2 linked regions of the Ovis aries genome follow. The protein of the gene in region 2 purifies or fractionates together with the protein of the main gene of each other region. This does not show direct contact. Links are inferred from orthologs where the notes say so. Each region holds a gene or a part of one and is shown on either strand. Other genes may lie near its edges. The genes, in order: RPP25 and POP4.

Region 1 (3,469 bases), on a different chromosome or scaffold from region 2:
TCTCTGCTGAATAGTAATTTCCAGCAGTGGATTTGTGCTCAGTCTCTCCTCCCCCTCTCCCAAGGGTGTGCTGTCCTTTCTCAGAGAGAGCGAGCGAGCAGTGAAGGGTAGATTCTATCCATGGGGCTGGGGGGCTCTGGGCCAGCCGTCTGGTAGGGCTGTTTATTGGCAGGAGGCTGCAGGCTTAGGGAGCCCAGTTGGATCTGCCACCCTTGGCAGTGACCCCCAGGATAGTTCATTGATGCTTCCCTTCCTCCCCCTTCCAGAAAAGCAGTATGCTGCTCCCTTTCCCTTAGTGGTAGCACATAAGGTGACCAAGGTCCCCTTCTGTCCACAAGCCCTGAAGCTACTGGAGCTAGCCAGGGAGGGCTGAGAAAGAGGGAGGAACCAGGCACTGGGTAAGGTGCTCCCAGCACCATTTCAAAGCTGTCCAGTTTCTGTGCCTGACCCATAAGACTCCAAAAGCTAAGGATTCCAGGCTGGAGGGGACTGAGACACAAGGGGGCAGACCAGAGCAGTCTCTACACAGGCTAGTGGTTAGGAAAAAACCCAGGGACAGAGCCTTTTTTGTGTTTGTTTTATTGGAAGCAAGACTCCAGCTGTGGGGCTCAGGGGAGGCGGCATGGAGAGTTCTGTCCTGGGTCTCTCCCTCTGGGCCAGCATGGGGAAAGTGGGATGTTAAAAGAGCCTATGGAGACGCCCCTGCCACCATGATCTCAGGATGCTCCTTAAAAGCAGGGAAAGGAAAACTAGAAACTGTCCTGGGGTGAGGAGCAGAATAGCCCCTTACCCCTTGCCACTCAAAATCCCCCGCCCTCAAGCAGTGGTTTCCAACCCTTTGCCCTCTGCTGACAATGGTGGGGTGGTTTCAAGAGCTCTCCTCAGCTTCCACCTTCGTAGCCCACTTCAAGAATCCTACATGAACCTTTAACCCTTGGGGTTAAAGGCTCAAGAATCCCATTGCCCACCATTCCCTCCCTGAAGAAGGTCCCCGTATGGTTCAGAAAAGCTGAAAGTGTCGTCAGGCAACACAGCTGGAGGAGCAACCCCACCACGAAGCTTCCCTGGGGTCCCCCCTTGTCGCCTTGGGGTCTATGCTTCCACGTTGTAGGTTCCAGAGTACCAAGGCGTGAAAGGCTAGAGATGCATCTCAAGGTCGAAGCTCGAGCGTAGGATTCAGCCCGTCCAGGTGGCCCAGAGGCCGGAGTTCTCAGGCGGTCTGGTCCTCTTCAGCAGCACCTGGCTCGGGTTGTGACCTCTTCGCGGAGCTCTCTCCAGCAGTAGGTTCCCCTAGACTCCTCTTGGACGTCGGAGCAGTTGGCTGGGACGAGGGGCCGGGATGGGGGTTCGGCGGCTGGTACCCGGGTTGGCGCGGATCCAGGGCATCCTTGGAAAGTAGGATGGCGAGGCTGGGCACGTTCTTAAGTACACTGAGACTGGCGGCTGGCTCGCCAGGCTTCTGCCCCGGTGTGGGCTCCGGAGGGAGGCTCTGCCACAGCTCGCGCACGCTCTGGTAGCGCAGCCGCGTGACCTGATGCAGACCCGCCAGGCGGCGCTTAAGGATCTCGGCACACGTGACGGTTTTGGTGGTGGCTCGACCGCAGCCGCTGAAGACGATGGCGCGCGTGGCTGGCTGCGCCATGCTGGCAGTGGCGAAGGCCAGCAGGTTCCGGATCTTGCTGCCCTCCTTGACCCGCATATGCACGGCGCCCGGCGCCAGGTCGGCGAAGGGGCCTGAGCCTGGGCCGCCCTCCTTTTCCCCGCTCCCCACCGGCGCCTCCTCGGAGCGCACCTTACGGAAGTTCTCCATGCGCCGTCGTTGCGGGGACGCGGGCTTCGCCATCGGGCCGCCTCAGCCCCGGGAATGCATGTCGGTGGGTCGCGTCCCGCAAGGGCCGGCAGGGTTAAGGGTGCGGGAGCGGCGTGGACGCTGGCTGGCCGATTGGGACGGTGCGATCCTAGCCTTCCACTTCTCTCCACTGGGCGCTGCTCTACTCGGCGATCTCGGCGCCCTGTGCTACGCGCCTTTAGCTGAGGCCCCGCCTCAGAGCCTGGGAGCCCCGCCCCTGCCGCCGGGCCCCGCCCCTTACCCAGCCCTGCCAGCTCGCGCCCAGCCTCACCAGCAATTCGCCCGCATCCACTCTGGTCCTCTGATATCCGGGTTTGGGAGGTGCGCGCATCGCGGGATGCCATGGCAGTGCCAGGAGTGACCTGCCAGCTGAAGTTTCCCTATAATCACCATCAGCCCTCCCTGAGCCTACCTTCATAAACCTGCAACCTAAATAAAAACTGCATTTGCTGGGCAAACTCAGCTTCAAGCCGGGTCCCCGAGCCCTTCCGCGGTTCAGCTGAAGGCCACCCACCCCTTGCCCGCTCCCAATGAGAGATTTCAAAGCGGCCTTCTGGGGACTGGGACCTCTTTCTCCCACTCCTAGAGGAACGACACCCCCACCCCCACCCCATCCCTTCGCTCCCGAGCCTCTCTTCTCGCCTGAAGGACAGCCTGCACGCTGTCAGCAGAGTGTAGTAGGCGCCGTCTCCGCTCCGCGTCTGCCCTCGACGACTATGTCTCGGCATGGTCCTCGCAGGACAACCGGAGAACTGAGGTCTCAGGCTTGCCGCGCCTGACCGGAGCTGAAGGCTCCCAGACACCCCTGCTCTGCGAACCGAGGCTCTGGGCCAGGCTGTGCCCTGGGATGAATGGGACGAGAACAATGAGACTCCCTTCTCAAGAGGAGTTAAGCTCCCTCCATCCATGCCTGAAAGTCGAGTATTAGAACTGCATGCCCTAGAGTAAGCCAGATATTGTCCTCTGCTCACGTGGATCCCCTTTCTTCTCAGGTGGAATTTGTTGTTAGTCAACCGGGCCCCCTGGGACCCAGTGGGGTCCTTTTCAGAAAAGAGGCTGGGTAAAAGCAGGTTTTGAGGGAGAAGGGAGGTAGCTGGGAAACGGAAATCTCAGGGACAGTTACCGGGTGCCCCTCCCCTGGAACTCCGCAAGACCGAGGGAGTGGCCCGGGATCTCTTTCCAGGAGAGATGGACAGTGAAGGGAGAGATGAGATTGGGCTTTAAAGGACTGCTGATGAGAGAGAGCGGGTTTGTGAAGAATACAGCTGTATTCTTCCTAGAACTGCCCCAGGGCCTCGTCCTTCATCCTTCCACCCCTCGCGGGACACACAGAACTGAAGGTGGGCCAGACCTGATCCGGGTAGGGGTGACTACGATGGGGCGTGGCGGGGTGGAGCCCTGATAGCTGCGGCGGACAGGAAGCCCTTGAAGTGCTGGGGTCATCCCAGTGCCTGGGAGAGCTGGTGCCGAGTCTTGAGACGGGGCTGCTGGGGTCCCCCTCCTCTCCTCCAGGCTGCTTTCGCCTTCTCAGTAACTCGTATCTCCTAGCGCTCGGCCCTGCTGTTTGGAACCCGGGACTGACTCCACTACGGCCCTTTGGGAGTGACTGGAGAGCAGGTG
Region 2 (3,808 bases):
AGGTAATAAAGGATGCACTCTTGAGGTATCTTCCCATCCTAAAACACATGGCTCCGGAGCTGGACTATAGGGTTCAAATCCCAGCTTCACCTCTCTCAGGTGGTGAGGCCCCAGGCAAGCCAGTGCTCTGAGTGTCTTTGTGGCCACAACCAATAGCTGTCACTGGGTCAGGATGCCCCGTCTGAGGTGGTGCTGGGAACTGTGCTCCAAACCACAGGCAGCAGTGGCTAGACTGTGGAGAACACCCCAGGAGACTCAGACCCTCCGGGTAAGTGAGGGACAGCACGTGCAGACGGAAGCGGGGTCGAGCTGCCAGGCATGAATGACCGTGGGAGACTCTCGGTGGGCTCAGCCTTCAGGAGGCACAGCTAGGCCTTCTCGCTGTCCAGTTAACGTGAAACCAGCGTTTACGCTCCTCTTATCGTGTTTCTCGTCCCGTGAGGATACTGAGCAGGAAGTGCTGAGAAAGCAAAGCTCTGGCACTGCTGCTTCTCTTGGCGTGGAAGCAAAAGGCATGTGGATGTGCCCCCAGTTTGTCATCAGGAAGCTTCTGCCTTCACCTTGTTGACCGGCAAACACCTGCTGCTCAAAGGAAAGGGGTGACAGGGTCTTCTAAGCCACATGGCTTTTTTAATAGCAGACCTGGAAGGCTGGTCCCCACCCTGTTCTCATTCGGCTGGTTTGTACTCAGGCCTGCGTAGAAGGGCCCCAGCTACTGGCCCACGGGCACACTGCCCGCAGGCCTGGGGTCAGACTGGAGAGCCATGCTTTTTGGCAGCAAAAATGGAACTAAGAGTCACCGAAGGCGGCACCGTTGGGGACTCAGGCTTCCTTGCAGGTTAGACCTTGGCAAAGGCTGTAGTCTTATTTTCCCCTCAGTCCCCCTTCCTCTGGAGCCTAACAGACTCAGGAATTGAGAACACTCCATAGGCTTAAGCTCCCTGTACTGGAACTTTCTTCTGCTTTCTAGAAACAGCAAAGTAAACCGTGGTTAGGTCAGAGCTTGACAGAAGGCATGATTTAAAGTAACGCGTCGAAGATGCAGGGCACCTCTGAACTACTGCACTCGGAGCCTCATGGCACCGAGAGCAAAAGGCACAGGCCAGGGGCAGCCTCAGGCCTCTCTTCCCTTCCATCCTGGCTGTGCTGCAGGAATCACTCCTGTGGCCTGTTCACGCCCACATGCATATTTTATTATCACACAAACTACTGATTTATCAAACAACATTCTGAAAACACAGAAAAGTATGAAAAGAAAAACCAAATAAACTATTTAGGTCAACTTGTGTTAATCCTGGTGCTTTCTGCCAATCTTTTCTCTCCATGGGAGTAATATAAAAGCAAGAGCATCTATAAAGACACATCCCTCTGGTCCCTGAATTCTGTGCTCAGTACAGTGCTTCTTCCCAGATGACTCAATGTCCTTACGCTGATTTAAACTGGCTGGAAGTGGTCTATGACCAGAACTGGCCTGACCAGCTCTTCCCTGAAAGGTGGATGTTTCCAGTCTTTGGCTGGCATAAATAATCCCCTTAGGCAGCAACAGCTCACAGGTCAATTGTTCCCTTGGCTTTGAACTTTTTTGCAGACCGCTCACTTGACCGCAGCTGGAATTTGCTACCATAAATGTAGGAAATAAAGCCATCGATCTCCACAGTGAACACACAGTTTAGCTTGGGGATAACTGAAAAAAAGTGAGAGAAAAAGGATAAGGAAAAAAATCCTGGCAGTAAGTTCACTTTTACAGAAACTATTATTCCCAAGATGTTTGTATTAGACAATAAACAAAGCGACTAGGGAAAACATTAGGAAATGCAGGAACCCACAAAGTTAACAATACCAGGATGAAGGTGATGATTCCACCAGGCAGCCAATTTACTCACATTTTAAATATAACTCAACACCTAGTTTTCAGGGTGAAAGGCTATGAACCAAACTTCCAGAATCAAAAGCTCCTAGAAAAACTGCCAGAAACAGGTCTTACCACATAACCTGCAGACAGACTCATGGGGTTATGCTTCTGGGGAAACCTGTACACCACTTTCTGAGGTTTAAAATGACAGCGGAGGAATATATAGGGAAATGGAAGCAAGCTGCAAGACACCCACGGGTCAAAAATTAAAGGAGCAACCCCCCTGTGGTTTTGAAGTCTCTGGATTCGTGGGCAAGGCAGGGGGTGGGAATCCTGGCAGGCCAGGCGCTCCTCTGCCAGAGTGGTGAGCACGACAGACAGGCGAGGGGGGACTTGCCTCCCCGGATCCCAGGGCGCGGGCTCTGGGAACTCCAGGGGCAGGCGCTGCCTTGGCTTCCTCCCTACTAGCTCTCTGGCTATAATTTTCTGGGAGGCAGCAGCCTTTGGGCAGGTGGAGGGTCCCAGTCCTGGAAACAGACCCAGGTGTCTGGAGGCACAGCCAAGCCACCCTCCCTTTCCTTGATCATGTCTGGCCATGGTGGCTGGGCTGACGAGTGTCTCAGGGAGAGCCCAGGGTGCCAGGATGGTCTTTGTAGGCTTGACATGTACGATAGGCAGGGATCTGCTGACTCGAAAGGCCAAACTACCTTTAGAGTCCTGAGGAAAGTGCCAATGAGTTGGCTGGGGCGGCCACAGCCACGGCCATCCAGTCACGTACCTTTCAGGCGGTCTTCTTTAGTGATGATTTTGAAAACATGCTTTGTCTCTTGTAGAAGGATCCCTGTAACACCCACATAGGAGGGGCACTTGGATTTTGTAACTGCAAAGGAAAAGGGCAGTGCAGGGCTCAGGCCTCTGTGCTGTTAGCGGAGCCACAGGCAGCCAGACCTGTCGGGGATGAGGGCTCTGTTCCCAACCTTGAGCCAGCAGAGGAAGAAAGGACACCAGGCGGGGCGTGGTGAGGGGCAGCACTCCGATCCTAAGTGTTGGCGACTCCGCTGGGCATGGACAAACCCAGGTTTCCCAGTCCCTTACTGGGGCGTTATAGTCTCTGTGCTGCTCTGGTAAGGTGTCCTTCAGAGGGCCTGCTGCCACAGGGGTCCTAGGCAGGATTTTGGAGCCAAGAGGTCGCACATGTATCCAATACCACCAAGACCCACAGTTGGGTTGCTCTGGCAAGGCCAGGTCTCACTTATAGGACCTAAGTGAACACCTGTTCACCATGGTCTTCCTGTAACCTCCTACGCTCTGGCCAGAATGGGCGGCCACTCCAGGTCACCCAGCAGTGAGCTGCCACCACGGCAACAGGCCCCTCACCTCCTCCAACCCATCTCCCATGTAGCCAGTACATGGTCACGGAACACCTGCTGTGTGTCTGGCACTGTCCTAGGCAGGTGCTGGGCACAGCAGTGAAAAGGGCAGTCCTGGGTCCTGCTCTCAAGAAGCTGTTGTTCTAATGGGGGAGGGGTAACAAATACAGATAGCTTTATTTTCTGATAGTGATGAGTGCTATGAAAAAAAACAAGGGCAGGGTAATGGGGGAGAGAGGTCATCTTTAGTAATGGTAGACCCCTGGGAAGTGACATCTGAACAGAGACCCAAATAACGAGAAAGAATCCTGTGAGCACAAAGAACTCCTGGCCAGAGGGAAGAAGCAAATGCTAAGACCCTGAGGCAGGGCCAGGCCTGGTGAGCAGAAAGCTGGTCAGTGTGGTTAGACTTGCTGCCCAAGGAGACTGCACAGGCTGTTTGGACCACAGTAAAGAGGCAGAAAGGACAGGACTTTTTCAGTTAAAAAAATCCTCCCTCTGGCTGCCTGGTCAGGGGAGGAGCAGTGTGTTGGTAGGAAGAGGGTTAGGCGGCTCTGCAATAATCCAGGGGAGGAGCGGTGGCTTA

The links.
Region 1: the proteins of POP4 (region 2) and RPP25 purify together in Homo sapiens (affinity purification with mass spectrometry; 3 studies listed by BioGRID and IntAct, counting the BioPlex papers as one, with this or other methods). This does not show direct contact. The link is inferred for Ovis aries from reciprocal best matches to the Homo sapiens genes POP4 and RPP25.

What each region holds. Positions count from the first base shown.
Region 1 is NC_056071.1:31,412,685-31,416,153, reverse strand, and holds RPP25 (ribonuclease P protein subunit p25), read right to left. Parts: upstream 2,001-3,469; 5' UTR 1,844-2,000; coding exon 1,211-1,843; 3' UTR 562-1,210; downstream 1-561. UniProt on the Homo sapiens protein: Component of ribonuclease P, a ribonucleoprotein complex that generates mature tRNA molecules by cleaving their 5'-ends. Also a component of the MRP ribonuclease complex, which cleaves pre-rRNA sequences.
Region 2 is NC_056067.1:39,744,267-39,748,074, reverse strand, and holds part of POP4 (ribonuclease P protein subunit p29), read right to left. Parts: intron 2,733-3,808; coding exon 2,631-2,732; intron 1,685-2,630; coding exon 1,548-1,684; 3' UTR 1-1,547. UniProt on the Homo sapiens protein: Component of ribonuclease P, a ribonucleoprotein complex that generates mature tRNA molecules by cleaving their 5'-ends.